Linked DNA regions of Medicago truncatula. The main gene of each other region encodes a partner of the protein of the gene in region 4 in a complex. Links are inferred from orthologs where the notes say so. Each region holds a gene or a part of one and is shown on either strand. Other genes may lie near its edges. The genes, in order: polycomb group protein EMBRYONIC FLOWER 2, VIN3-like protein 2, VIN3-like protein 1 and histone-lysine N-methyltransferase EZA1.

Region 1 (7,543 bases), on a different chromosome or scaffold from region 4:
ATGAAAATATTGTGATTTTATTTTAAAAATGTGTGTCCATTTTACCTTGATGGGAACTTTTGAAGTGAATTCTTGTGATGGAGAGAAGATGTAATGCTAGTTAAAGATAATGATGCATTTCTAGAAATAATCAAAACATTTTTTTTATATATTTTCATTGTTACCGAAAATGCACATAATTTTTTTTTTTGAGGGAAAAATGCACATAATTATTCACATCAAAATATATTATATGTGTGTTTTGTGTGGATTGAATCCACGAGTTTTCCCACAAACTTAGCTTTTGTGGCCAACTGAACCACATTACTTATAATTAAGGAGAAAAACAAGGACATATTCAAATCATGATTTTAATTTTTTTTTTTCTTTCTATAAGTCGTGATTTTAGGAGTCTTGGTGCAAGGTAATTAAGTTGTTGCCACGTGAGTACTTGAAACAACATCTTGTGTAAAAAGTGAACTTTAGTACACTAGAGTGTCTTTTATGTGTAACTTTCTTCTAATTATTTTAACTTTTGTTGCCTTTGTGTTTTCTCGTATTATTGAGTGTGTCGTCCTTGAGTATGTTGTAATTTCTTGAATCAAGATACTTAAGCAAAACTTGATTGGGTTCTTCAAAATTGTGTTTGATCAAATATATAATGCTAAAACCATGTGGATTGTTTGAATCTCTACACATGAGACTAACATAATCACAGCACTCATTGTGATTCTAGCAAAAACTATACTTCTATACATCGTATCTTTAACAAACTCATGGTGCAATCGTGATGTTGTTAAATTCACCACTCATCCAAACACATATATGGATGACTTGATGTATGTCATGTATATATATCAGAATATGACTTCCAATAATGTATTCTCTACTTCTCATGAAATTAATGATTCTGGCTGAAACCAAATGTGCTCGAATCTCTGTTTCATTTTCCATTTTTTTTTTGTTGAAAAAATAATTCAAAAAAATAAGAGATGCAAACAAATAATCTAGAGAATTCCTTCATGTTTTATTGGATACTATACTACATGAATTCAGACATTAAGTAGAATAGCTCTTGGATAAGATTGTTAATAGAACAACATCTGCATTAAGTAATTTTTGACCTGTGCTTCAGTGACATGCATGTGTGATTCACAACTTTCTTAATAGCATTTTTGACAGTATGTGGGATAAGATTAAGGTAAAGGAGTTAAGAAAGGATATTTGGATGCAATTGGGTTTGGGTGATAAGTTGGAAAGCTGTTAGTAAAATCACGTTCATAGATAGTTCCTTATTCTAAATTTTAAAGATGTCTACCATTGCAACTTACAAGCAAGAGTGATGGTGAATATAACACTTGTGTACTTCAGATAAATAAATAAAAATATCAAAAAGAAATTCCAAACTCAGATCAAGACTACCAAAATAACCTGATGCAAATAACAATCTGGCACCTTATAAATTATATGTTTCTCTTTCGTTGATAAGAAAAGCAAAAGAGAGTACAAGATTTGTCGAAGACTAAGTAAGTCATCATTCAACAAAATAAGCAAAGCTAAACAATAATAATAATTAGACTAACTAAGGAAAAACGCATCATGTGTTTCCAACTCCAAGTTTGATACTTATGTTTGGCTGGCTATAACCAACCACAACTATAGTGGAGTACTTGGCAATGAGACGAGACTGTTAGTGTGAAGCCATACCTTAATATCACCCACAACAATGTTGTCAATCTTTGTTAGTCGTTTGATCTTGACATTGTAACTAAAATGCATGGTTTCCCTACTTGTTACAGATGTATTTCTTCTTTTCAATAGAGATACTCGAAGGATAATTTGATGGTTGATCCAGAAACAAAACACCACACACAGAATATGAATCTCATGGCCGCAAGCAGTCGGAAAATCAAAAGGTCCCATCTCATGATAAAGAGACCATTTTCCTAACTCAAAATCCAAAACATAGATTTGAAATGTTCTACAAAATGCATCATTATTCACAATGCAAGAAAGGTGATTTCCCATCCCTAAAAATATGGCTTAATTGCACTTTTGGCCCCCTATCTTTCCAAAAGTTGTGATTTTGGTCCCCTAACTAGTTAAAATACAAAACAACCTCATATGTATTGGATCTTTGTCAGTTTTGGCCCCCAAGGCCACTTTTGACTTAGTCTTCGCTGACGTGGCACCCACAATGGTCGACATGTGACACCTCACTTAAGGGATGTGTGTGCCACGTCAGCGAAGACTAAGTCAAAAGTGGCCTTGGGGGCCAAAACTGTCAAAGATCCAATACATAGGGGGCTGTTTTGTATTTTAATTAGTTAGGGGTCCAAAATCGCAACTTTTGAAAAGATAGGGGGCCAAAAATGCAATTAAACTTAAAAATATTGCATCTGAATTAAGACCCATCAACACAGGGGGAAGTGGAAGTAAATACTGTCCTACAATATTTTCCTTCTCAACATCCATCATTGTTATTCCCTCTATAGTTATCCAGTAAAGATAATTGTCTCCATTATACTCCATTCCTTTTCTTTTGATGTTTTAGTTCTTGACACAAGTTTTAAGGAGTAATTAAAGTATATAAATATTTGTGTATTTTTTACTTAAATGTCCTTATTTATCATTAAATTCACATGTGATAAACCAAAGGTCACAACTACTTTAATAGTTTATTGTGTTTTCCAACAAGGGTAAACTTAAGAAAACAATAACAAATTCACTAAAACATCAAAAGTTTTGGAATATAGTTAAAGTTCTAAAACATCAAAAGAAAAGGAATGGAGCGAGTAATTTATAAAGTAGTTTCCAACAAAAAAACCATTCACGAGGAGCTTCTTTTCAAGCTATCTCTTTCCATGAGCTATCTACTCCAATTCTAAGCACATAGAATACATACCAATAAGCACCCGAAACCACTAGGATATCTACAAAAAAACAGCTTGAATTCAATAGAGTGAGGAACACGTGCTATAGTTACTTGACACTTAAGTTCCGATCGTTTCAGTGAAATCGGTAAAGAAGGAATTTTGAGCCAACACTTGAGGATGGGGTTCACGATGAAAATCTAGGACCATGACAAAGTAGCAATATTCCATCACAAGTATCGACAATGTTTCCCATTTTTTGAGGTGTTCCCATGTTAGACCTTTCAAATTCAAATAGACTATTCACATCATCTTTAATATCCAAGAAATAATAATTATTTTGATGCTTGCAATTTTCAACATATAGACCAGGTTTTGAATGTGCACGATGTAGGCACGCTTCGGCAAACAGGGAGCTGCGAATAGTAGTAGCCCAAGATTTGCAAACATACCTTGCAGAGTTAAGCAGACATTTAACAGGGAGAAAACTAAGGATATCAAACACCAAGTCTTCAGGGATTAACAACTTTGAAATCACTTTACAACTCTTACCACTATAGGAATTTTGCTTCATATTCTTAATGGAATGATCCTCATGTGACTTAGAGTTTGACTCAGAGAAACTGTACTTCTTTATGGATTTATATCTTCCCATTATCAATTAATCAAATTAAACTTGTCCTGCTTCAATCACTGCATAACATATCGGCCCAAACAAACATCACATTAGTTAAATCATCAATAATATGAAAAGTATACTATGTATAGAATCTGAAACTACAATGCTCTAACGATAATCACTTATACTTTTTCAGAGGGATTGGAATTTTAAAGAATAATAATATACACTTGCATAGTTTGGATTTTCTATATGCTGCAAGAGTTTTAGAATCTTGCTCAACCAAAAGATGAATTCATATGAAACATGCCACATTTTTCGAAAGTGTAAGACAAAAACTAAAATAGAAACTTACATAATAAAATCATTAACTCTCTTGTACGATGAAAATAACTCAATGGGATCTATGCAAAACATTTGAGTGAATGTGTTGCTCAAGTATATGCAAGCACATGCATGATGCATATTTTAAACTGATATATTTTTAATTAATTATAGCAGAGTTTTATATATTGTAAATTAATCTTTTACTATATGTTACTACTATTTAGCAGTGTATAGTTAAACAATGAGAAGAGAAGAGATTAAACATAATGCATGGATATAACTTGGACAAAAACTGACATGAACATAAACCAACTATTAGGGACAACAAAAAAGAAAGTTTTTAGTTTTTGCAACTAAAATCAAAATTCTTTATATTTTTTAAAATCACAAACTTATTTAACCCTCCTTCAAAAAAGAAAATAACACTTACTTAACCCCTAAAATATTTCAAAATTTAAATTGAAACTTGTTATTTAACAGAGTATAAATTTGCAATTCGCATACAACAACTAGAAGAAGAAGAAGCCAGCATCGATAAAATAAAAAAACCGTTTAGTGAAAAAAATCGAGAGTTAAAGGAAAGGAAAACTTAACATACCTATAAATAGGTATGTTTTTTGCGGGTGGGCTTGGGCTCAAAGCCCATGAGCTTTTTTCCCCTTCTTATACAGGTGCGTTAGAAGTAAATTAGAGGGGTGCAAATAACAATCCTCATCTTTTCCTCTTATATTAAGATGGGCCCATTATTATCGGGCCCAATACAGTGTGTAATGAACTACGTTGACGGTGCCATGCTCTTCCCTTCTCCGCCAGATCGACCAAGAACTTCTTCGCATTTTCTCTCTTCTCTGTAAGTCTTCCTCTCTCATGAATTTCTTTGTTTTCAGCTGCAATATTCGTTTAACCTAATTGTGTTTCAGCTCATTACTTCAATTGCGTGTAACAATGTATGTTTAATTGAAGTTGATTTTGTGTTTGTTTGTAGGTTGAAGAATTCAACATGTGCCGGCAAAATTCACCGGTGCATAATTCCGGTGAAGAAGAAATTACAGCTGATGAAAGTCTTTTGATTTATTGCAAACCTGTTGAATTCTACAATATTCTCTATCGTCGTTCTCTTCACAATGTATAATATTACTATTACTTCCTAATCAGTATATGATTGTTTCAACTTTTAATTAAGCTCCATAATATTCATTTATTGTTTTTTTGCTATTTTTTCTGTGTTTTGGTTGTTTAAATATTGGTAATTTATAATTTTATGATTAAGGGATTAGAAATTGTGCTATGATTTGAACTTAATGCCGAGATGAGATGTTGACTGATTTTTTTGATATTTAAACTTTTTTTTTTTTTTTTTTTTTTTTTATATCGTTGGGGCGTGTCCCCATGCAGAAAACGTAAGATTAATATCTGCCTGCCCGGGGGGCCAAGTAAAGTCTGGCCAACACATTTTTGAACTCTGCGGGAATCGAACCTGGGAGTACTAGGTCGTTTCCCCGAGTCTAGGGCAGGTTACTCCACTGAGCCGAGCGGTGTTGGTTGATATTAAACATGTGAAGTGGTTTTTATGCGATTCTACATTTGAAAGTTGCTCTTAAAAATTGAAATTAGCATACATGTCAAAATTTTATGTTTTTTTTAATATAAAAGATATGTTGATTGATACCATTTGGAATTCATTTCTCTTGCAGCCTACTTTTCTTAAGAGATGTTTGCGCTATAAAATAAAAGCAAAGCAAAAAAGGAGGTAAATATTCCTTTGAATTGTTATATACATGTATTATAGTTATTTCATCTAGTTTTTAGTTTCATCATTCAATTTGTTGAAGTACACTACTCTTTATACCATTTCCTTACTCTTAAATTGTTGATTCAACATGATTTTTAAGAGTTATACTAATAGAAATTAATTATTTGGGGATACATGAATAGTAATCATCTATCTACTTTTTTTGGTAATAGGAGAATCGATACAGAAAAAAAGGAATTTGATTTGTGAGGATTGAGAATCCGACAGTAAGAGAAATAAATGCTACAAACGAAAACTATTTAAATACCGACAAAACTTAATTACAGTTCCTTATGTTCTCGCCAATAAACTAAGTATACGTGTCATGTATTATCTTTTAAAAAAAAAAAAAAACCCCCGCAAGTTGTATTTGCAGAATCATCACTGCTTCGTTTCCTTGTACCATTGTATGAAAATTTTAATTTAGACTTGGCTGACTTGCAATGAATACCAACCCTTGATGGAAAAGAAAAAGTAAATGTGATGCTGCAGAACTAGGAAGTGTGTGAAAACTCTCTCTGTTCCCCACCATTTCTTTGACTATAGACCAGCAAACGTACGATAGAGGACGACTTGCTGAAGTGAAGACTTCGATCTGAGTGGCAGTCTGGGAAGTTGATTTGGGGGGGGGGGGGGGGAGGGGGAGGGGGAGGGTGGTGGTAATTTGGGACTCTGCGAGAAAATGACACCGTTTCTGTTTTTCGATTCCGGCACGAAATGTGAAATTTCGATTCACCATTCACGGGAGGTGTAGGTTCCCCTTGTTAGAGGGAAATCACAGTACACGTGTCCGTAATTTATTGGCGAACAACAGTAATAGGACCTTAGGCGCCGTACTTAAGATTTGTTCATTAAATAGTTCACAATTTATTAGTTGAAAAGAGAAACTAGCCTCTTTGCATATCGAATAAAGATTTACCCATTTTCAGATATCTATCTTATGTAATATGCAATGCTTCATTAGGGGTTGTAACTGGTAAGGTGAAGTTTTGAGTCTAGATGCCGAAAAGAAGTAAATGTCTCATTGAAGAAAGATGTTAACAGTAGGACAAGAAGTAAACAGTAAATTATTTGGCTATTTTATTTTAATTACGAAACTCTAGACTAAAAGTTGCATTTTGTCCCTAGTCTCAAATACTGTCCAAGTAATTCTTTAGCATACCATGATGTCTATTCTTCATCAGCTGATGATTTTTGCATTCTTGCCTGAATAACAATTAAGAAAGAAATTGTTTTGCTATGCTTTATCCTTGCGTTTCTTGTTGATTGTATTTATTGTTTGCCTTATTGGGTGGCAATTGTTTGATGGCTTTCTGTTTTGAAGGTTGCGAGCAGGAATTGTGGTTTTCAACTATAGGGACTGTTACAATGCGCTTCGAAAGACTGAAGGTACAGCATATTATCATATTGTCACCAGCTATGTTCAACATTACATCTTACCACTACCTTCCTATAATAAGTACAATTTTTAAGAGCAATCAAACTAGTAAACAATTTGGTAATGTTTTTATTTTCGATTCCGACTTCCTTCCATAGATGCTTATGGCTGATAGTTTTCAAGTGCAGAACTTCATCTGCCTTTAATTTGGACAGATATGATTTTGTAAACGTTACTCTTTTGAGCTGGCATTTTTTAATGCTTTTTTTTTGGGTGGTCTGTCATGTTATTCTCTTTTTTTGTGATGGTTTCTTATTAAAAAAAAAAAAAAAACAATTTTGACCGTACTGATACATTTCTGTTTCTTTCCAAATGTAGTGACTGAAGACTTTTCTTGTCCATTTTGCTTGATGCAGTGTGCGAGCTTTAAGGTATATGCTGTGATTTGAACTTCAGTAATTGCTTTTTTCATTCATAATTTGATAATTTGGGAGGTTGTTGTCTTGTCTCTTTTTTCTTTGTTAGAAGCTAAGAGAAAACTTCAAAAACTGTTTTTCATGGAAATCTATTGAATT
Region 2 (7,429 bases), on a different chromosome or scaffold from region 4:
AGCAACATATAAATAGATATAATCATCTTGAATCCTAATAATATCAATAATTTGCATTTACACAAAGTTTCCATTGTAGAAAACACTATAAGACCAAGACAAGACAGAAATATAGGGAAAAAGAATAAAAAGAAGAATATAAAATTTACCCGAGTAAATCATTTACTTTCCCACAAGAGACACAGTAGAAGCCTCCATCATGTTTGGGGCGTTTGCCATCTTTGCCAATTCCAGAACCATCATGTTTTAAAGCACACTCAAGGTGGCATGACAAGCCGCAAGAAACACCAGGAAATGGAGCTTCAGAGCTGCATATTAACCACAGGCTAGGGTCTTTGTTGTCGTCATATTGATGACAAATACAACATGAACACCTTTTGCAAAATGCATCTCCTTGATTTAGCGTAGCCTTGCATGCTGAGTTTTTGCAGTATGAGGTATTATGATTCACATCGCCACTGTTATTGACAAAAACATTGTTTTCAGGAACAGCTAACCGAGATGGATTCTCAATTTTTCTCTGCCTTTTAGCAGGTTTCTGACCATTTTCAGGAAAAGAATGTGGTTCAGGGTCGGTGGCAATATCATGGCCACTTGATTTCTTTTCGGAAACAATTTTCAGAAGATTTTCGATAATTTTCACCTTTGTCAGCCCAGTATACTTCCTTTCTTTTCCCATCTCAGCACACAATATTTGTAAAATCTCTTGACGGCTCCATGACTGTAGTATCTCAGATGCACCATCATGAGACGATTTAGATATTTCATATACAAGCTCTCTTTTTTCCTCCATACTCAATTTACTAAATTTAGAAGGATCAAGAGCAACTGCTAAGATCAAGGAAAAAGAAAACAAATATTAGCATATTATTATATAGATGAGAGCATTCCAATTTTAAAACTTCCAAGTGCTGAAGGAAACAAGACTATTTCAACAAAGACTTCTGCTACAATTTGTACTCATGCTAGACATGTCATCATCAAGAAATTATACGCAGAAATAATGGATTTTATAGAAGAAACTATAATGCATTTTTTAATGAACTAACATATTGATTGCATATAATATAACCAAGAAAACAAGAACAAGAAACATAACATATAAAACTGTAACTGGTTGAACTTGCATCACAAGGACATCCCAACCACTTGATGCAGAATGGAATCTAGGAATATTGGATAGCTCAGTGTAAACGCAATGGACTAATCAAGTCAGCCAATTAGGTAATTGGACTTAACTTCCTTTGACTTTTATAAGCACCTTCATGGACCTGCTTATTTAGTTGTTGGCACATCGCATATCAAATGATAAGCCTACTTCAATCAAGACTCCTTTTTTAATCAAAATGCATTAATAAAATATTGAACTGCCCGGCCCCTAAATGCAGTTCACACCAAAAGCTCGGGAATAAAAGGCTATATATAGCATAGATTTTAAGCCAAAAAAGGCAGAATCAGCAAAAGATAAATAAAATAAATTACAATTAAATCAAATAAAATAGTGAAACACCTCTCTCATTAAAGTTCATTCTTTTTTCTGAAGGAAAAAAAATCAAAGCTAATCAGAACCCAACATTCAGGAAGGACACGCATGGAAAACAAGGTTTTACACCGTTGTCGTGTTGTGATCCTTGTATTGCAGAAAATTGCGGTTAGATACAACTGATGCACCCAGAATTAATGCAATTGTGGACGCATAGACATAAAAAACCTTGACGTGTCATGCCTCGAAAAACCATGAGAAAGATGACATGGCAAATAAATCAATCCACAATTAAATCACGCGAGATATTAAAGCATAACACAGATAACGAATCCAACCCTTGTCGTGTAGCAGCCACATTTAACGCAATTTTGGACACGTAGATATAAAAAAAACCTTGACATGTCAAGCCTCAGAAAAACTCGAGAAGATGCCACAACAAATAAATTAAACAACAAAGAAAATCGGTTTCTTGTCATAAAAAATAAATTGGTAAAAAAGCATAATGTTAAATCACACGAAATAGTAAAGCATAACACGGATAACAAATCCAATCCTTGTCGTGTTGAGATCATTTTTATTGCGGAAAAGAGCAGTTAAATACATCAACCTCAAGTAACGCAATTGCGGACATGTAACGGAAAATTGCAGTTAAATACAAGTCATGCAAAATTACCGCAATATCATCGGAAGCGTTGACATGCAAAATCTTGATGATGAAGAGACCACAAAAAGTAAATCAATCCACATAGAAATCAGATATGTCACAAATCACAATGCTAAATCATGATATCATATGGACCACGAAACTACAGAAAAATGAGGTACATGACCGATGGCAATGCTAAAACATGATATGATAGAGATTAATCATCGTTAAATCACATGAGATTATAAAGCACAACAGAGATTATAACGAATCTAATCAATCATTGAGATAATTGAATCACCTCAGTTTGAATATAACGAAGAAAGTGAGATATAAGAATACATGAAAAATTGAAGAAAATTAGAGAGATAAAATAAGCAAGTGATGGAAGCGTGTGTGTTACCTTGGGAAGACGAATCGGTAGCCATAACTAAGAACGAGAATGAATGAATCACATCACATTATCAACAAAATTCATCGAACCTAAACAAAAGTTAAATAAATAAATCCAATCCACGTCATGAATCGCCGTATAAGGAAAGAAAATTAAGAGTGATTGATAGAGAAAGATTGAAATGACAATTACCTAAAAAAAAGATGCTTTCAATTGTTGAAGAAGAAGAAGAAGAAGAAAACGGAATCACTCAGTAACTGAAAAAAATGGTGACGCGCGCACACTCTCTCTCTCTCTCTCTCCTCTGTATGTGATAGAGGGAGATTCGAGGAGAAAGTTGTTGATGTACTTACTTTGCTTCTAGTCTAGAAAGAGAAAGCGTTTTAGATAGGTGGAAGGAGAGAGAGAGAGAGCGCTTTAATATCTCTCACAAATTTTTCGGCTCAATTTTTGTGACGCTTTCAACATCTACAATGTATCTAAAACTAAACGATGATATGAACATTTCTTCATTGAATAAATCATGATGCGGCAAAATAGATAGCAAATAAAAGGTTGAAATAGCTTAAATAAGATGTAAAAAAAATTATTTTGAAGGAAATGTGTTTGAGTTGCATAGATATTAATATTATATGACAATTTAGGAACCACTTGAGGAGGAAGGCTAATAATACTCTCTTTTGAGGCTCACTATTTTATTGAGTAAAATCAATATGTCCAATTACTTTATGTCGGTTCCATTTCCAATGTATATGCCCCACGTTAGTTTAAACCAATAAAATATAGCTATCATTTCACTTAAGATTGGTTATGGAATCAAATTTAGATTTTTCGCAAACTTGTGATAAGTGATTCTTTAGATAAATTGACAAATACAACTAAATTTACGACACAAGTGCAATGTGTTATGTTTAAACATGAGTAAACGTGTTTCAATTTAACAATATTGGTGTGCGTTTGATTTGTTAAAAAATGAAGGACAAGACATAATAACTTCAGCTGTTTAGTGTTTGATTTGCAAAACTGTTTCAGAGACAGGATAAACTGGAGGCAAGGAACATGACAAAAACTGAAATTTTTGTCCCTCACCAAACCACAGCACAACTTTTTTGTCCCACGTACAAGTTGTCTAAAACATCAAAATAGTATTTCGTCCCTCAAAAATCATACAAAACAAAAAATTATTCAATACCATAAAAATTTGTTCTGTGTTGTTATGCCTTATGTTGTGATGTTCTGTTTTGTACTGATATGTTCTATCCAGTACTTACTCTTTTGCAAACCAAACACACACCTTACAACTTAGGAGGACAAATTAATCTTTCACTTAATTTTGACTCTTTACTATAGATGAATTAACTTTTCTCTGTCTAAAAATATCAAAAATCAATTTTAGAAAAAAAAATAAACTTCTAGTCACTTGTCTTAATTTTAAACAACGATCTTGTCTTTTATATTTATTTATTGCATTTTTTTTATTTTAGTCTTTTGTATATGAATTTTCAACAAAGAGAACCACTGATTTAAACACCGAAAGCTCGTATCAAAATCAAATATTAAATCTTAAAATTCATATACAAAATTAATTCCCTCAAAAAATTCATATACAAAATTAGTTAAAAGGACAAAGATAATGTGAAAAAATGTGAAGAAGGAAATCTTTACGTAAACGTTTAGATCTAAAATAATGGCGTTATTGCCGATTTATTGTTGCGATGCTCACTGACTTTCAATTCAACATTTTTTATAGTCGAATATTTCGGTAAGAAATTAGGATAGTATAATATATTAAATTACTAAAATAGCCCTTTATTCTTTTCATTATCTACTGGCACATACACCATATCATATCAGGTCCATTCAATAACCTGTATCATAAATCCATACATCACAAAAATCTGAGTTAGTGTGGCTGTGTGTGTGTGGTAATGTCTTTTGCATGATAAGATTTCATTCAGGTGAATGAAGTCTTTTTCTCGTAATTAATATATATATATATATTATTTTTTAAAATAAGCTAAAATGGAATTTGTTAATATAGCAATTAATCTTAACCGGCACAAGGAATGTTAGGCTAGGAGTCTTACAGTAACAATAAACAAAGGATGATGGAAACCCCCAATGGAAAATCCATACACCCGTGAAAATAAATAAAAATCCAAAAACCTATAGGAAACACCTCCTAACAAAGGGCTATCTCCGAAATCAATAAATAGAAACACCAAAACAAAGCTAACATCACGATCAACAAAACAACATAAACAAAATCCTCAAGCATCGTCACAACTGCCACAAAAACAACTTCTACCACACCCACATTCCGCTGCTCGCACACAACCCCTGAACATCAACTTAAAAACCTACACCACAACCAACAACCTTTGAAAACAGCCGGGAAAAAAAACCCCAAACACCACCATGAGCTCTCCTAAGCACCTTCATCCAAAACACACCTCGTAAACAACCGCAAAAGCTAACCAAAAATCCTTGTACCATCACCAAAAACCACCACAAACATAACCACAAAAATCAACACCATTACCACCACCTTCACCAAAACTACCATTGACCACCACAAAAATCACCATTAACCCTCACCTAAAAGCAACACCAGCCACCACGCGCAGCACACCTAAAACCACCACAAGCATCACCACCAAAAACCACCACGAGCCCCCGCCACAAAAGACCCAAAATCAACACCACCAAGAAAACCATCATGAAGTACCACAAACCAATACAACCAAAGATCCATCGAAACCATATAAGTTCATAAGCGAATCTAGATATGATTCATCACCACCATCGTGACCGATCTGTCACCACCTATGTTGCGAGCAAACATAACCTCCACCACAACCAAGAGAGAAAACAAATCAAATAGTTTGAGACCCACGAAAACCAAACAACCACAGACAAGCATCCAACGACACACCACAAAACCCACCAACGTCTCAGCCAAACGAAACAAATAAAAAACATCAAAAATACAAACCAACCTTTACGACGATAGAGAGCAACCGCACGTCGGAAAGGTACGGTGGTGCGGAGGACAGTGACCCTCGTCGCACCACCATCCATTTGATCTACATGATGACGGGGGCGGATTTAAAATTTGTGTGAGGAAGAAAGGAGTACGGCGGTTTTACGTTTAGAAAAAATGGAATACAACGGCTATCTCTTATGTGTGTTTTGTAAAAAAGTACGACGGCTATTACTATAACTCCATTCATTTCTTTTCTTTTTTTATAAATCTCTTATCTTCTAAAATTTTGTTCGTATTCACACTTTTATCAAAATTTTGCAATAGAATATATATTTTTTTAACAAATTTTGCAATGTATATTATTACAAAAAAAAAAAAAAAACTTAATTTCATTTGTCCATTTATGATCGATTGGTGGCTAACGATTGGATAATAGAGTCTGTTAAAACTTTGTTGATATGGCCCTATGGCAGGGACACACGCATGTAAGATTGGAATCGACTGTGGGGACAACATGGTCAATTTAGATAGCTGCCCCACTAACTAATATTGCATGTAAGACATTGAGTTTTTTTTTATATCTTATAGTTTTGACAAAAACAATAAATTATGGTCTTTGCATATACGAATCGATGCTTTCCCATCTCATGCCACTCACTGCGTCAAAAAAATCTCATGCCACTCATTTCCTACACATTTGTTGGCTTAGCTTGTATTGCACACACGACATAGTATAATAATAAGATTTGTTGACTTAGCTTCTTAAAAAAAAAAAAAAATTATTAATAATTTACGCTTGCTTTCTTCAACTCTTAAAAAAGGTTAAGATATATATATAATCCAATAAAAAAATGTAAATATTTGATTATCTAACATATTTTATGCTATGCAGTTTTCTCCAACAACGATGATATTAATCTCTCTGTGTTTATTGTTAGGTCATGAGAGGAGGTTGGAACTTGAGAGACCATCCATATTAGACCCAGAACAATCATACAAATGAGTTGGACACCAAATATTTAACTAAAATCTTAGGGCAATAAGTTTATGAGTCACCACGTTAATAAATAAAGTGTTCAACTTTCATTTTTATAAGCAATATGCAGAACTTCCAACTCACGTTCTTTACACAACAATCTTCCCTCAAGTGTGAGTCCATCAATTCATTAAATGTTGTGTAGCGAGTGTAAGCCAGAAGTTACACATTGCTTAGAAAAGTGGAGGTTAAACATTTTATAAGTAGAAAGATCGGTAAATCCAATGTCTCAGGGTTTTGGAGTTAAAGTATAATGTACACCTTATTTGTTACTCTTAACTAAATGCGAATATTCTCATACTCATATCGTGTCTCAATATTATGCCTCAAACAAAAGCTTTTTAACCCACACATACTTGCATTTATACTTGTACCACTTGTTATTGCACCAACGTGACACGTCAACTGAACACCTTCCTAGGAAGACTTTCTACACCAAGAGGCGATCAAACCTTTGTTGAACCTGATACTATTGCTGGATCACGAGGAGAAGCGAGTTATGCACGTTAATTAGACCTATATAACAATCATTAAAGCGAGTTTGACATCACATCTTTACGTAACATCTTAAGGCATTAGGTTTATGAGTCGTCTCATTTATAAAATGTTTAACCTTCCCTTTTCTAAATATTGTGAGACTTCTAACTCACAATTACTGCATAATATTACATGAGTGTAGACAAATCATTTTCCTCTCTATATTTTTCGTATAATCATGTAGGTTGTGCAACGTCTTTTGTGTTTTGAAGTATAAAACAAAAAATATAGGTGTATTAGATCATTTGATCCCTTAAATAATTTAATGTTTTCATTTTGATCTCACAATTAATAAAACAGGCGTTTTAGTTCCTCAATTTTTTCTCCGTTTGCCAAATAAATCC
Region 3 (8,006 bases), on a different chromosome or scaffold from region 4:
ACTAGACTTTCATTACCAGAAATAAATTTCAGTTTTGATAACTAACAAGACAACATGGACAACAGAATCATGGTTGAAGAAGTCGTTTAAACAAGGATTAAATTCAACAATCACTCCAATCTCTTTGTATTAATAACAATATCAAATTCTAAACCACACAATTGGGGAAGTTTATATCATATATGTTACATAATTATATTCTATGCATAACAGAAATATACATTAATTAATGCATTAATATTTCATAATTGCGTATGAAAAAAACAGAACATCACATATAGATCAAAATTTATTTTGCTGCGTTTTAAGGGACAAAATAAATAGATGTTTATATTGTGAATATGTACAAGAAAGACCCAAAAAACATATCCTATTAAAATAGTAACACAGATTGGTTTTGTAGACAATCATCATAGCCTCACCTAATGTATTACTGAAAATTTGGATAAATTTTATGCCACATAATTCATCGTTATTTTTTTCCTTAATAATATGCCACACTGTTCACAAAGTACAACACTTCCGCATAACAAAAGAAAAACAGTATACTTTAACTTAGCATGATTTCTTTGTGGACTTTCATTCCTCTAAAGTCCAAAATTATTGATTTTAGTCACCATAAAATGAGCAACTTTTGGCTTTGATTCCTGTAAAATATTTTTATTGGTTTTTCATCACTTTAAAATAACAAATCGCTATTTTTGGTCTCTAACATTCACTTTAGGTTGAGCCAAAAAAAATCTCCGGGCTCAAGATAAAATCTTAGGGAGTCATATATGCTAACAAGGCACCACCGACACGATTAGGTGCCACCTGGAGAGGCCACTTGATCTTGTGTTGGACACATAAGTAGTTAAATGACGCCGCAAGACGATAGAGACAAAAAATAGTGATTTAAGATTTTAAAAACATATTTAACCCAAATATGAATAACAACGACTTTCCAAGGTGATGCCACAATAAGAGTAGAATAGAACAATACTAGTTTGTAACTATATCGGTTCAGCATTTAATAAAACCATATATTAAAATCGATAATTGACTCTAAGATAGCGAAAAACCAGATTTGATCCCAAACCAAATATACTTACAAGGCATATCAACGTATAACTCCATTTTAGGATCATAATTATAATACGTTGCATAATATGAGACAAACAAAATTCACATTTTGAATAACAAAAAGGAAACAAATATCATCAAACACTCAAGTAAAAGTTAAAAGGAAACAAACCACAAGACTAAAAAGTGAAATAATGATATAAAGGGTAAAAAAGCCTTGCAAAAGAAGCAATATATAACAATTCATTGGATTGAAACTATACATAAAATTAGTTTTAATAAGCAAAAGAAAGTAAAACACATTAAATAACAGCTTCCGCAAACAAATCACACGTTAAGTATCTTTTCCGAATCCTCTCCAAAAAAATAAAATGTATCTTTTCCGAAGTCAAATTTCAGACAGCGTTTTAAATCATGTTCATTTTTTTTTAAGTAGATTAACATGACACGATTAACATGGCACAAATGAAAAAAACAAAAATAAGAACAAAGGAGTGTGTTGGTGATATGCATAAACATCATTTGTGAAAGAAAGTCTGAAAAAAAGATAAAATTGTGTGAAGTCTGAAAGAAAATTGAAAAAACAGCATTAACCAAAACAGCAGCATAACCACTAGATGGCTTTGTTCAGTTCAAGAACAATCTATTATCAAACACTTCAAAAATTTATCATGGATTGTTCAGTTCTGTTTGCATTTCAATATTAATCACGGGAGGAAGCAACCACGATTCTTACACACCAATCTCACAATGTAACTCATCAATAAAGTACAATAAGAGAGAAAGACAGATATGCATAATCACAATGCAAACTAGCAACTATAGCGTTAATTGATTGATGAATAATCCCTTAATTAAGCCCTTACGGCAGATTTTCATATATTTAGAGACTAAAATGACAGATTTGATATACTTAAGGGCAACCATCAGGACTCTTAAAAGAGTAATCAACCGATCAAATACCCTTAAAAGTGTTATTCTCTTGGGGCCAGTCTCGAACCGAGTACCACAAGGTTGTAAAACAAACTTACAACCAAGTGACCTCACCCGAATCCGACAACAAACGGGCTCTAAATTGAGGATTTATTATCAATTGATTGATTGATGGATATATATTAATTAATATTAAATTAAAAATAATCAATTAAAAACAAAATATAAATCAGTCTCCAACACAATTGTATTATTTTGCACATTTGATTTAAACACACAATGTCTGATGAAAAATAGACTCAAATAGTCAATTACAGTTATGAAAAATAAAACAAACCTATTATTATCATTATAACAATAACTATTTACTCAAAACAGATGAAGAAAAAAAAACGTATAATAATAACACCACAATTTAGAGCCATGAATGAAAAACTGAACATAAAAACAAAACAAGAATAAAAGATCACACATCACAACTTAACCACTCATTCAATAAGCATTGCACATATCAACAAAAATAGGTCAAAAAAACATCAATTTTAATATTTAAAAAAAATCAAAATAAAGGGAAATTATTAAACAAATAAAAAGCACAAATTTTTACAAAAATCAGAACATGGGCAAGAGGAAAATCAGAACAAATCTATAAAGGGTAGACAAAAAAAGAAAAAAAAACATAAAACCTTAAAAACGTGAAAATTAAGGATAAAGGGATACGAATGAAAGAGTTACCTAAAGGAGAATGAGGATTTTAAGGTTATGAATCTGAAATCTTAAACAACACAAACACACAAGACAAATTTGGTGGTTTATGTTGTTGTTAGATTATGTTGTTGTTTCTGTGATTTTGAGAGAGAAAGAGAAAAAGGGTTGTGTTTATTGGTAGTGTTTATAGGTGAATGAAGTGACACGCGCTTAAGATGGCGCGTGAGGGAGTTGTGGTAGTTTTTTTCTTCTTCCTAGGCTCTTGTTGTTTGGCTGCATGGTATTGGTTAGTCAGCTGTGTGAAGTTTTCAGCTTATGTTACTTCTTTTCATGTTTTTCAGGTTTTTGTTGATGTTACTTTTGTGGACATTATTGCCCCTATTCTTTGAAAATTATTTAAGTTGTTTTAAGGTTTAGTTATGTTTTTAGAATAGGTTTTAAATTAGATGTAGCATATGTTTTGTTTGGTTTGGATTTTTGAGGTTTTAAACACGAGTTTAGTTGTGTTATTGTTGTGATTTCTTGGTAGCTATAAAACGAAGGTTTTATGTGGACGATGAAGTCTTTTATAAACAGAAGTATATAGTTCTCTTTGTTTTTATGTTGTTTATGTGAGAAGGTGATTTGATTGATGCTAGTTTCTGACCAAAAAAACAAAAGAAAAAAAATATGAGTATGTGTGATATAGGTTAATCTAGACATAGCGCATCTTTAAACTCACGTTTGTTAGACCATCCACAATGGTGGGTGCTTCATCTATTTAGCATCATATTAAATAGGCACCCCCATTGTGGAGTATAATATATGGGTGGCTATGGAGAACGGTGGCTATGGAAGCACCCTCTCTTTCTTCATTTTTCATGGGTCACATTTAATAAATCTTAATAAAATAAATAATTTTTGTTGAAATGTAATGATATAAAATTATTTGTAGGACTTATTTAATAATTTCTTTTGAGGTGTTGGGTTGGAGAAAATTGGTGTTTATTAAGTATTACCGTAAAATAAGTGATGTGGACATATGAAATTAATTTAACCACTCAGTTTAAGGTGATATATTGTGGATGGTCTTAGTAACTATAAAATGAAGGTTTTATGGAGACGGTGAAGTCTCTTTGAAATAGAAGTTTATATTACTTTTTGTTTTTATGTTGTTCATGTGAGGCGGTGATTTGATTGAATGGCAGTTTTGACCCAAAATAAGTAAAAAAAAATAAATGAGTATGTTTGGTCCAACTTAAATTGGATGTAGCATATGTTTGATTTGGTGTTTAAGTCTCGAAACTCACGTTCAGTTGTGCTGTTGTCGTGATTTCATAGTAGTTACAAATAAGCTTCTACGTAGACGGTGAAGTCTCTTTGAAATAGAAGTTTGTAGTTCTCATTGTCTTAATGTTGCTTATGTGAGACGGAGATTTTTTTTGCGGTGGTCGGAGTTTGAACCTTTGCATATATTATATGTTGTCCATATGAACTGAATTAAGCTCACGAGGACTGAGACGGGGATTTGATGTAACACCCTAAACCCCACTTATTATTTTCTAATAAAAATACAGTAATTAATTAAACATGCAAAGGTGTTTATGAAAAAATCATTGATAGAGATTAGGGTTGACCCTTGGTCCAATCCTTGTTATAAAAAAAAATCATTCAATCCTTTGATCCTATGAAAAAAAAATCATTCAATCCTTGTTATGAACAAAATCATTCAATCCTATTAAAAAAATCATTCAATCCTTCTAATAAAAATACAATAATTAATTAAACATGTAAAAAGATAAAGGATTAGGGTTGATTTTGATCCAATCCTTGTTATGAAAAAATCATTGATAGGGATTAGGGTTGACCCTTGGTCCAATCCTTGTTATGAAAAAAATCATTGATAATGCTTCCAGAAGACAAATATTAAACCCCCAAAGTAATTTAGACTCAACAATAGTTTTGCCTCCAAAAAGTTGTCTAAGAGACTTAATAACTTTTATAAATAAAATACGTGATCATTTTCTAAAAAAATAGAGAAACAACAAAAAAATTGAAAGGAAATGTGCAACAACTTTTTTTGCTCCAAAAAGTTGTCTAAGATACTTAAGAACTTTTATTTTTTTGAAGACATAAAAATGGAATATATTAACACTGGCGGTGAGTGCTCCTCAGTACAAGGTGTACCGAACAGACTACCCCAAATAACAATATGTCATACAAGTTATATACAAGAAAAACAGGTTAGTCGATACTCAAACAAGTCAAGGGGTCCGACCACCATCTTTGCACACCATAAACAAACTTGGCATTATTAGCCTTTACCCACCATAATGAATGGAATTTTACTTTATCTAGAAGCTGTAATATAGGAGTTTCAACGTTTTTAAATACTTTGTTGTTGCGTTCACTCCATATTAGCCAAACACCAAGAAGCTACAATAATTGAAGAAAAGCACAGCGGGCCTTAGATGATCCTGTATAATGAATAAATTGGAGAAAATGGTCAGTGATGGTAAGCGGTTCTACTCCCGCCACTCCAACCAGGCCCTAATTTGCTGCCACAACGACCGAACACTTCACAATGAATAAACAAGTGAGCTGATGTCTCCTCAAGCCCACACCCTGTAGCACACGAAGTCCCCGCCTCTTGCACTATGCCGCGCCTAAGGAGATTGTTCCTGGTTGGGAGCATGTCCTTTAGCAAACGTCAAGCAACAATGGACACCTTTAGGGGAACCTGCTTATGCCAAATGAGGTCTCTCCACACGTCAACAGTGGAAGATACCGAAGTTGTCAGAATCTGATAAGCACCTTTGACAATATATCCTTCATGAATGTTTGGATCCCACTGCCACCTGTCAAGAATATTAGCCTGCACAAATACACCATCAAGTAGTACCCTAAACTCCTCTAACATTTCTTCCTCACACGTCCACAATCTCCTCCTCCAACTCCATGCCTCTCCCCCTTCCCCCCATCCGCGATCACAAATATTCGCCACAGTAACAAATTTATTAGTCGCTAAATCAAACAATCGACTAAACCTTCTACACAAGGGGACATCTCCTAACCAGTTATCAAACCAAAAGAACGTATTGTTTCCATCACCTAACACCCTAGATACCCTTTCGCCAAACCAACCACCATTTGTGCCCTCAATCCCATCCCTAATCTTCACTACCTCCCTCCACCAAGAAGAAGCACTCCGGCCCCCAACCTCCAACCTCCCAGCCACCTCACTATATCTCGCCACCAACACCCTATACCAAAACCCACCTCTATCCACCAACAACTGCCAACACCATTTATCCAACAAGGCTAAATTAAACTCTCTAAACTGCCTCACCCCCAGCCCTTCATACTCCTTACCTAAACAAATAGAGCTCCAAGCAATCCAGGAAATTTTCCTGTTATCCTCACTCCCTCTTTAAAAAAAATTCTTAAATAAAGTTTCAATGGAAGAGATTATATCTGTCGGAGCTTTGAAGAAAGAAAGAGTGTAGACAGGAAGCGAGGTCAGGACAGACTTAAGAAGAATCAAGCGGCCCCCAAAAGATAGAAAGCGACTCTGCCACTTTGACAGTCTAGATTTAATAGTAGACATCATAGGTTCCCAAAAGGCTAACCTTCGAGGATCACCATCAATTGAGAGACCAAGATACAAAAATGGAATATTACCCACCTTACAATTTAAAATAGATGCTGTTTCAGTCAACCACGAGTTCCCAATATTAATTCCTACCAGTAGACTCTTATGAAAATTCACTTTTACACCGGACATATCTGCAAATAAGTTCAACACCGCCCTTAACACTCGAACATTGGCCCAACTCTTAGTACCCATAAGTAGGGTTGGGAATAGGTCAGGCCGGCCTACAGGGGCCTACGGCCTGGCCTGTTTTGGCCTGGCATGGCCTGGACTGTTTAGTAGATAGGCCTAGGCTTAGACTTTTTAGAAAGCCTGTTTAGTTAAATAGGCCAAGCTTAGGCTTCAAAAAAAGACTGTTAAGCCTAATAGGCCGGCCTATTAATACTTATTTATTAAAAAATATTTTTTTATATTAAAATAATTGCATATATTAAAAATATAAACATCTTTTTCTCTATCTAGTTGAAATTTACTTGTAGTGAAATAGGCTTTTAAGTAGGCTTTAAGACATGTTTAACCTATTTAGTAGGCCAAATGAACTATTTGATGGCCTTAATATGAAGTAGGTCTGTAAGTAGGCTTTCAGGCCAGTCCAGGCTTTTAAATAGGTCAGGCCAGGCCTAGAAAAACGGCCTATGATAGGCCATAGGCCAGGCTCAGGCTTGTGATTTATTTCGTAGGCCAGGCTCAGGCCTATCAAAGCATGGCCTGGCCTGGCCTATTCCCACCCCTACCCATAAGTAACGTATCATCAGCAAACTACAGATGTGACACCACCACAGAGTTAGATAAATAAGATAAGATATGCGATCATTTTCTAAAAAAATAGAGAAACAAAAAAAAAAAAAAAAAAAGGAACGAAATGTGCAACAATTTTTTTGGCTCCAAAAAGTTGTCTAAGAAACTTAAAGAACTTTTATAAATACGTGATCATTTTTAAAAAATAAAAAATAAAATAAAAATTAGGAGGGAAATTTACAACAACTTTTTTGGCTCCAAAAAGTCGTCTAAGAGACTTATGAACTTTTATAAATAAGAACAAAAAATTAGTAAGGAAATTTGCAAAAACTTTTTTGGCTTCAAAAAGTTGTCTAAGATATTTAAGAACTTTTATAAATAAGATAAGATAACATATGCGACCATTTTCAAAAATATTAAAGAAACAACAAAAAATAAGGAAAGAAATTTGCAACAACTTTTTTTGACTCCAAAAAGTTGTCTAAGATATTTAAGAACCTATGTACATAAGATAAGATAAGAGATCTTTAAAAAAGGCAAAGAATTAGGAAAGAAATTTGCAAAAACTTTTTTGGCTCCAAAAAATTGTCTAGCTCCAAAAAATTGTCTAAGATACTGAAGTTTATAAATAAGATATGCGACCATTTTAAAAATAAAATAAAGAAACAACAAAAAATAAGGAAATAAATTTGCAACAAATTTTTTTACTCCAAAAAGTTATCTAAGATACTTACGAACTTTTATAAGTAAGATATGCCATCATTTTCTAAATAAAAAAACAAAGTTAGGAAGTAAAATTACAATAACTTCTTGACCAAAAAAAAAATTACAATAACTTTTTTGACTCCAAAAAATTGTTTAAAAGCCTTAAGAACCCATGTATATAAGATAAGAGATCTTTAAAAAGAGCAAAAAAATTAGGAAAGAAATTTGC
Region 4 (7,625 bases):
AAATTCTCGCCCACCTCAAATATAAAAAATACTTGCAATCTCAAACAAAGAAGAATACCTGAAGGTAGCACTGATCACCACATGGTTTTCTATCACCTACAGGCTCAGACCAAACTGTCTTTTTTTCACTCTGAAATAAACATCAAATTAAATTTATTGATGAAGTAACATAGATTAATTTTGAAAATAACTTAGGGCATTGTTCCTTACGGGATATATCAAAGGTTGAGAACAGCCATGCAGTCGACAGTCAAAAATCTGCCGCAGGAAAGCAGAAAGGTACGCATTCACTAAGACAATGATGACAATGTTAAAAAAATGATGATTTTGTACATACCAGGCACCGACGACAGAAAAGGTTATCAAGAGAATCTAATGCATCACTCAGGTTTTTCTCTAGATACATGCTCATAGGAAATTCATGTTCTCCTGAGCTTTTAGGATGCTGGTCCAACCTACCAATATTACTTCCTCTGATGCTTTTGTACCTCTCCTGTGTTTTTTATGAAAGCAATTTCTCGAAGAAATGAAAATGGTTTCTGATAAAGAAATTTCCATGGTGCAATATATTGTTTTTTATATTCATTCCCACAAGTTATTTTGGATTACCTGGATTTCTAAACTGGTGCCCCCAACATACTTGCTAACAACATTCAAAACCTCCTCATTTAACCCATGTTCCTCAAATGCCATACTAGAAATTCAATAGTCAAGACATTAATTCTAGAAAGAAGAAATGCTGAACGTTTGAATGAAGTTGGGATTCATGGTTTATAAGTTAAAATCTGGTATTAAAAGTTGTGTGGTCATGACTCGTGATACAAGTCTTATTTCTCAAAGGCGTGGCAAGAAAATCCGTGTTTGCGCCAACAGAGCATCTATATGACTCATTAACTAAACATGTTAATCAATGATTCATATAGCTAACCACAATAATTGAAACCCAGATCGATTGGTCTTGTTTCGTTGAATCTTTCTTCGCAAATGTAGCATTTCTACATCTTCATACTAACTTACCATAAAATACGGTCTTCAGCATCACAAAATTCATGTTTTTCTCCGTCAGGTTCTGTTAATTCTTCCTCACTGTCACTACATATCAATGCCTCACTTCCACGTTGATCATAATAGATCCGTCTTCTTCCAACGACTGATTGATCGTCAGCCATTCTCTGATTCCTGATGCGTGTGAAAGATTTTAAAATAGAAGAAAATATATTATTGAACTTGCATACTCATTGATCAATAAGGTTTAAATCCCATTTTCTCTTATAAAATGGATAAAGCAGTGAGTAACTCAACATAGGAAATTAAATATTTGTAAGTCAAAACACCTGTCCAAAAATATCCAAGATGTATATGGTGGTAATCTTTCCATACGTGGAATCTTGATGCTTGTAGCAGATGACATGTCTTGATTGCCCTGGTTTCTGTCTCCTGGACCCTGGGTAAAACCATAGAATTTACATAAAGGACGGTCCATTCTTGAGGAAAGAATTGAACGTGTCGTATTTTCCTCCGTTTGTGAAGAGTCCCTGGTTGATACTGCTGACATTATTCCTGAAGTATGACATTGCAGCTTCTTCTGGTTCCTCTGAAGTTTTTCCTACAGAAAATAATTACAATTAATCACAAGTCATCCAGCATGGTGTGTAAAAAGAAGCTATCTCAACCTTGAATTTTCAATTGACACTTAAGTTTACTTTAACAGTCATAACATAAAGTTCAACCGATAAACACGGCTAAATAAAAAACATTGCCGAAAGTGACACCCATATAACCAAAACAGATCAGAACAACTAGCAGTTCAGCTCAATGTAGAAGCAAACAGAAATCGAAAGATTTTGTGTGGCACCCTTATAGCATGCTCTAGATTTTGTGTGGCACCCTTCAGCTTTAAAAAAGAAAAGACTGTTATAAAAAATCTAGAGATTTAAAAAAAAAAAACTGAAGTTATTTCTGTTTGTTTACTACCCATAAAATTCACTTTTTTTTTAAAAAAAAAAAAAAAAAAGATTATTTTTAGCTTGTTCATGTTTGAAAAAAAAATAGATTTTAGGGAAAGTTAACCCTAACAGCTTTTCATCTTAGAGTTAAAAATGAATTTTTTAAAATTATAAACAAAGTAACAAACACTATTAAAATAACAAAAGCGACTTTTATAAAAAATAAAAAATAAAAAAAAACCAAAACAAACACACCCTAACTCTAGCTATTAAATTCCAGTTATCCACATATATGGCTGAACTGGTGTTTCTACAAAATGAAGTTTGCAAGGAATAATAATTAAATGTTTGGAATCAGGACGAGTTTGACAAAAAAATTGTGACATCTTGATTTTGTTGAAGCTCTAAAGTGTAACTTTGGTCATAATCACGATGTCACACTTTGATTTGGCCAAACACACTATCAATCCAAACATACACTAAATGTCAGTATGCTAACGCCAGTTTCCACAATTAGCCATGATAAAACAAAAACATCCTGCCAGCAAACAAACAAACAAACAAACTACAGAAAGCTGAACCCATTCCAAGAACGAAATCACAAACTTACCTTAATGGATTGAATTCTCTCGGCCTGGATTTGCTTTTTCAACTGATTTATCTTGTTGGACAAGGTTCCCACATCATCATTTGGCGGCTCTTCAACTAATTCCTGTCAATATTACAGTTACCGCCATAAAAATAATAATAATAAAATAAAATAAACAATCACATAGACACCGAATTTTCCTTGCTCACACGACAATCACAAATAAAATTGCGGTTAGGTGAAATTGTGGTTAAAATGAAACTTGGTGTTTATGATAGGGAATAGTGAAAGTTGAATTGAATAAATAGAGAGAAATGAAAGAGACTCGATGGAGATTGTGAGGAGAATCGGAAACCATGGATGCTCGTTGTTGTGATCTTGTATGCTGAGTTGAGCGAGTTGATCAACGATTGAGAGAGAGTAACTGTGGACGCACGGTTTTAGAAATGAAATTGGGTGGACGCATCTTCCACTTTGGATTATGTACCTTTTTTGAGTGGGGTCATCTCTTTACAGTATTATTCCTTCTTTCTTGGCTATCCCTCATTCCTTTGCTTCCCTCATTTTTCCAAATGCTGTAGTACTACTACTACTGAAGGGACTTGTCTCGTGCCAACTGCCAATCATAGTTGCCCTGCTTTTTTATTTATTAAACTTTAAATAAATTAACTGCAAACTATGCTATTTTTTTTTAAATGTTTTCTAAATTTTGATCTCGTTTGTAAGCGTGTTTGATGATATTATTTCCACTCTTTTTCTATGGAATGATAGACATCTATGAAAATGGAACCATATTTTGACGGGGCAATATGTTAAAGAAGTGGTGGCATTTAGCATGGGAAAAGGAAGTTGTTTTCCACCATAGGAAAGTCATTTTTAACCATTAGATCTACAATCTTGTCATACACTCTCAACACTATATTTTTGTCACTATCTTCCACTACCATCTCTTTCATTCATCCTCCACAAACCCATAACCAGCAACTCATCAAAACCACCGTCCCAACTCTTTATTGTTAATTTATTTAATTTCCCTTGTCTCTCCTTCATCCTTATTTTATTTTCTTTGATGCAATGTATTAATCCAAATCTAAAACATTTCTCATGGTTTTGATTGTTTATTATTATATATGAAGTGGATATCAGATTTGGAGCAATCTAAGCTTCCCTTCCATTATTAGACCACAAATCTAACCTCTGCATTTGTATTTGTGTTGAGTGCTGAGGCAACTAACCTAACCTGACTGCACGAATACATATTTTTTTCTTCCAAAAGAAATTAATCACAATAGTGTGTGAATTTGTATGCTAACTTGTGTAAATTTTTATATGTTCCTTCTATTATTCAAGACCCAACTGTTCCGTCAGCCAGAGGTTGAGAATATATTTTCCTCAAATCAAACAATTTGTTCCTATATAGTGTCCTGCAAGGATTGATTACTTTGAATTGCAAAAAGTAAGTTCATGGAATATTGATTGTTAAAATTTTGAATCTGATTGGTAAAAACTATAGTTCTCATGGTGTTGCTGGTGGTGGGTTGGTGGGGATGAAGGAGAGAGATGGTAGTGGAAGATAGTGACAAAAATATAGTGTTGAGAGTGTATGATAAGATTGTAGATCTAATGGTTCAAATTGACTTTCCCATGGTGGGAAACAATTCCCCTTTCTCATGCTAAACCCCACCTAAAGAAGTTAGTAACTAGATGCCATTTAATTTGGGAAAGAAGAGTTCTTTTCTACCATGGGAAAGTTGATCATATCCATTAAATTAAATAAGAAACATATTTCTATCATACTCTCTCAACCACTATATTATTTTTTTTATATTATCTTTCACACTCTCTCTTTCATGTCCCCACACACCCATACCACCACCACTAAATCACAAATTCAACAACCACTTTGACCACCACTGCACCACCACACACCACCATGGTTGCTGCCGGAAAACTTGTTAGCGTACGATTTTTAAAATAGGAAGACCAAAACATCATTTTCTTTTTAAATAGAAAGACCAAAAATGCATTTAAACCTTACTTTTTTAACATTTTTTCTTTTCTTTTCTTTTTTATGCTTCCATGAACCCATTTGTTTTTTTATAAAAAAAAAAAACAGAAGAAAAATAATATAATTCAAAATTATATAATACAATCATTTTACCCGGAGAGAAACGGATTAATTGGATAAAAAAAACACGATCACAAACAGGTATAGTTTATGCGATGGCGGTTGGAATTCGAACAACAAGATAATTATGCATCCCTCTAAAATAAACTATGAACAAAATAATATTGCATCCCTCTAAAAAAATATAATATTGCATCGTTAGGTTAATTTAGATTCTTTATAGGAAAATTTGCAGGTACCCTTGAGTTTTGATTAAAATGATGGTGCCATTTAATTTGGGAAAGGAGAGTTCTTTCCGGCAGCAACCATGGTGGTGTGTGGTGGTGCAGTGGTGGTGTGTGGTGGTGCAATGGTGGTCAAAGTGGTTGTTGAATTTGTGATTTAGTGGTGGTGGTATGGGTGTGTGGGAACATGAAAGAGAGAGTGTGAAAGATAGTATAAAAAAATAATCTAGTGGTTGAGAGAGTATGATAGGAATATGTTCCTTATTTAATTTAATGGATATGATCAACTTTCCCATGGTGAAAAAGAACTTTCCTTTCCCAAATTAAATGACACCAATAATTAGTATGAGACGTAACTGGATCAATCATCCATATTTTGAGGACCAAAAATGATAGAGGCTCAATTACCCACTCGCAAATGAGTGGAAACTTTATTTCTCAATAGTACAAACTTCTCACAACCAAAACTTTTTAGCAACCAACTTAGCTTGGTACGTTGATAACTTGCCCAATACAATTTCCACCATATTTGTTAAAGTGTCGGTGTTTTTTTTTTGTTTTTCTTTTCCGAAAGGATTAAAGTGTGAGTGTAAAATTTCATACAGGTTCCTTAAATTGGTGGATAATTTTTGTTCCGACATTCAATGTCTCTTAGAAACATAAGTAAATAACTAAAAAATTCAATGGCAGGTAACTGCTGCCGGTTTTATAGTTATAAGTCAACGGCAATTAACTACCGTTAAGATATTTTAGGATTTTACTTGTGTTTAGGAACTATTGAATGTTAAAAAAGCAATTGTCAAAGAGGTGATATAGATTTCTAATTTCTTAAAATTTAGATTAATAAAAGTGTGGTATCAAAGGTTTTTTTGCCTTGAATTATTAGTCTCCCCAACACTCCAGCACCTTTTGAGTACTTTATTAGTCTCCTAAAAAGGTCCACAACTTTAATCGCAAGCATTTTTAAGTCAAATTTATGGTTTAGTAAATTATCCATTCATCCCCACAACTTGTAAGAGTCGAGCATTCACACCTCTAAAATTTGCGAATATGCAAAATTGATCCTCTAACATAGAATTTTGTCAAACAACTTGATCCTTATATTAACTGGCATCTAATATTATGTTAAACTACTCGCTAAATTTACCACTTACTAGAAAATTAGTTCTTGAATCAATATCACTCAGTAGCAACGGAGTCCTTAATTATATCATCTATTGCCATTAAAAAAATTGTCCTTACAAGTTATCCGATGTCATTTAAAATCAAAGTATTTTTCGGTTGTTCGCAAATATTATAGGGGGTGTAAGTTACTACTCCCTCCGGTCTCAAATGTAGGGAAAAAGAAAAAAAAAAGTACACCAATTAAGAAAATGAATTGATTACATTGAAGTCATGTTAAAAAAGTACAACTTTTCAATTTTGCCTTGTCATGTTTTAGTAATAATTAATGAAAGTGACTCTTGAACTCATGGAGATGGGGTAAAATTGGAATAGTAGCATTTATTAGGTTGCTTTTACTATACTTTTTCTTACATTTGAGACCACAATTTTTTTTTATTTTTTTCCCTACATTTGAGACCGGAGGGAGTATCTTGTAGGCTAAGTTACAACCCAAAGCTGCCTTGTCGACTAAATTATAAACTTCCATATCAGCATCCACATCCTTCATCGCCTTATTATTAAGAGAATAAATCTTCATACATGTTCTGGACTTAACTAGCTAATATCTGGCTGATATGGCTGAGTTGAGGGCATAATTGTGTATGGTTGATTGCTCGATCGTCATTTACCTATGTTCTACACATTATTCCTATCTTTAAGAAATGAATGTCTAATTAACCATGCTATGTCATTAAAATCAACCTTGGGGTCAGTTTATCTTTTCTCTTTGCATAACCATTACTTTATCATGCCACATATATAGGAAAATTGTAATATGACCTTTTGACTTAGTCAAGTCAATGTTGGAGTCTTTTAGACTAATTAAACATTATCCAATTCCTATTTAAATTTGATAGTCATCTCTTCTATCAATCGGCAGCTTATTCGGCTATCATTCGATTTTGCATAAGTTGTTAGTGAATTTTACATTAACTAATTCTAATGTGAGTCGATTGTGATGCGAAAAATACACCAACTTCATCCTATTAGCGAATCCACCACCTATATAATTCCTTAACAAATTCAAATATGAAACTAACAAATGAAATATACGATTTTTTTTGTCAAAAATATGAAACATACTATTTGTAACAAAAAAAAAAAAAAAAAAAAAAAAAAAAACACACACACACCGCATAGTCATCTAGAACAATTGGAATTCCAATGTCTTATCCGTAACATTCCATCAAACATTTTCATTCAACGCCATAATTAGCCACGTTGGACAGAACTTCTTAAGAACACCTATATATGGTAAAATATTCCATATACTACACCATTGTTTGTTTCGACTCTCCCATTTGTTTCAACAACGACAAACAAATTATGGAATTACGGCTACATTTTAAGAAAAACATCGAAACATATATCATCCCATGATTCCTCCAATGTTAAGATTCCATACCGTAAACATGCTGAACCATTCTTTTTCTCTCACACCTTTCAATATCAATATATTCCAAGACGGTTATACAAGAGAATTTTACTATATAATCTTCCACGTAGAACACAGTTTCTTTGCAATAACAACAATGGAGCAAGAAAATCAAGCTATAATATCAATTCCAACTCTT

What was found.
Region 1: histone-lysine N-methyltransferase EZA1 (region 4) and polycomb group protein EMBRYONIC FLOWER 2 share a complex: the UniProt entries of both Arabidopsis thaliana proteins name them as parts of the plant homeodomain / polycomb repressive complex. The link is inferred for Medicago truncatula from reciprocal best matches to the Arabidopsis thaliana genes SWN and VRN2.
Region 2: histone-lysine N-methyltransferase EZA1 (region 4) and VIN3-like protein 2 share a complex: the UniProt entries of both Arabidopsis thaliana proteins name them as parts of the plant homeodomain / polycomb repressive complex. The link is inferred for Medicago truncatula from reciprocal best matches to the Arabidopsis thaliana genes SWN and VEL1.
Region 3: histone-lysine N-methyltransferase EZA1 (region 4) and VIN3-like protein 1 share a complex: the UniProt entries of both Arabidopsis thaliana proteins name them as parts of the plant homeodomain / polycomb repressive complex. The link is inferred for Medicago truncatula from reciprocal best matches to the Arabidopsis thaliana genes SWN and VRN5.

Annotation. Positions count from the first base shown.
Region 1 is NC_053046.1:4,146,268-4,153,810, reverse strand, and holds the start of polycomb group protein EMBRYONIC FLOWER 2, read left to right. Parts: upstream 1-4,537; 5' UTR 4,538-4,648; intron 4,649-4,783; 5' UTR 4,784-4,798; coding exon 4,799-4,924; intron 4,925-5,492; coding exon 5,493-5,548; intron 5,549-6,914; coding exon 6,915-6,979; intron 6,980-7,346; coding exon 7,347-7,399; intron 7,400-7,543. UniProt on the Arabidopsis thaliana protein: Polycomb group (PcG) protein. Plays a central role in vernalization by maintaining repressed the homeotic gene FLC, a floral repressor, after a cold treatment.
Region 2 is NC_053045.1:61,341,069-61,348,497, forward strand, and holds the start of VIN3-like protein 2, read right to left. Parts: upstream 3,011-7,429; 5' UTR 2,725-3,010; exon of another isoform or gene 2,719-2,724; intron 2,621-2,718; 5' UTR 2,561-2,620; coding exon 2,536-2,560; intron 2,530-2,535; exon of another isoform or gene 2,434-2,529; intron 2,361-2,433; exon of another isoform or gene 1,268-2,360; coding exon of another isoform or gene 1,240-1,267; intron 832-1,239; coding exon 150-831; intron 1-149. UniProt on the Arabidopsis thaliana protein: Maybe involved in both the vernalization and photoperiod pathways by regulating gene expression. Binds preferentially to dimethylated histone H3 'Lys-9' (H3K9me2).
Region 3 is NC_053047.1:39,580,207-39,588,212, forward strand, and holds the start of VIN3-like protein 1, read right to left. Parts: upstream 3,021-8,006; 5' UTR 2,731-3,020; intron 1-2,730. UniProt on the Arabidopsis thaliana protein: Involved in both the vernalization and photoperiod pathways by regulating expression of the related floral repressors FLOWERING LOCUS C (FLC) and FLOWERING LOCUS M (FLM).
Region 4 is NC_053042.1:42,724,499-42,732,123, reverse strand, and holds the start of histone-lysine N-methyltransferase EZA1, read right to left. Parts: upstream 3,017-7,625; 5' UTR 2,894-3,016; coding exon 2,861-2,893; intron 2,659-2,860; coding exon 2,557-2,658; intron 1,607-2,556; coding exon 1,335-1,606; intron 1,180-1,334; coding exon 1,018-1,179; intron 695-1,017; coding exon 610-694; intron 494-609; coding exon 338-493; intron 259-337; coding exon 211-258; intron 131-210; coding exon 59-130; intron 1-58. Other genes in the region: GRAS family protein RAM1, read left to right, coding at 7,584-7,625. UniProt on the Arabidopsis thaliana protein: Polycomb group (PcG) protein. Catalytic subunit of some PcG multiprotein complex, which methylates 'Lys-27' of histone H3, leading to transcriptional repression of the affected target genes, mainly abscisic acid (ABA) responsive elements.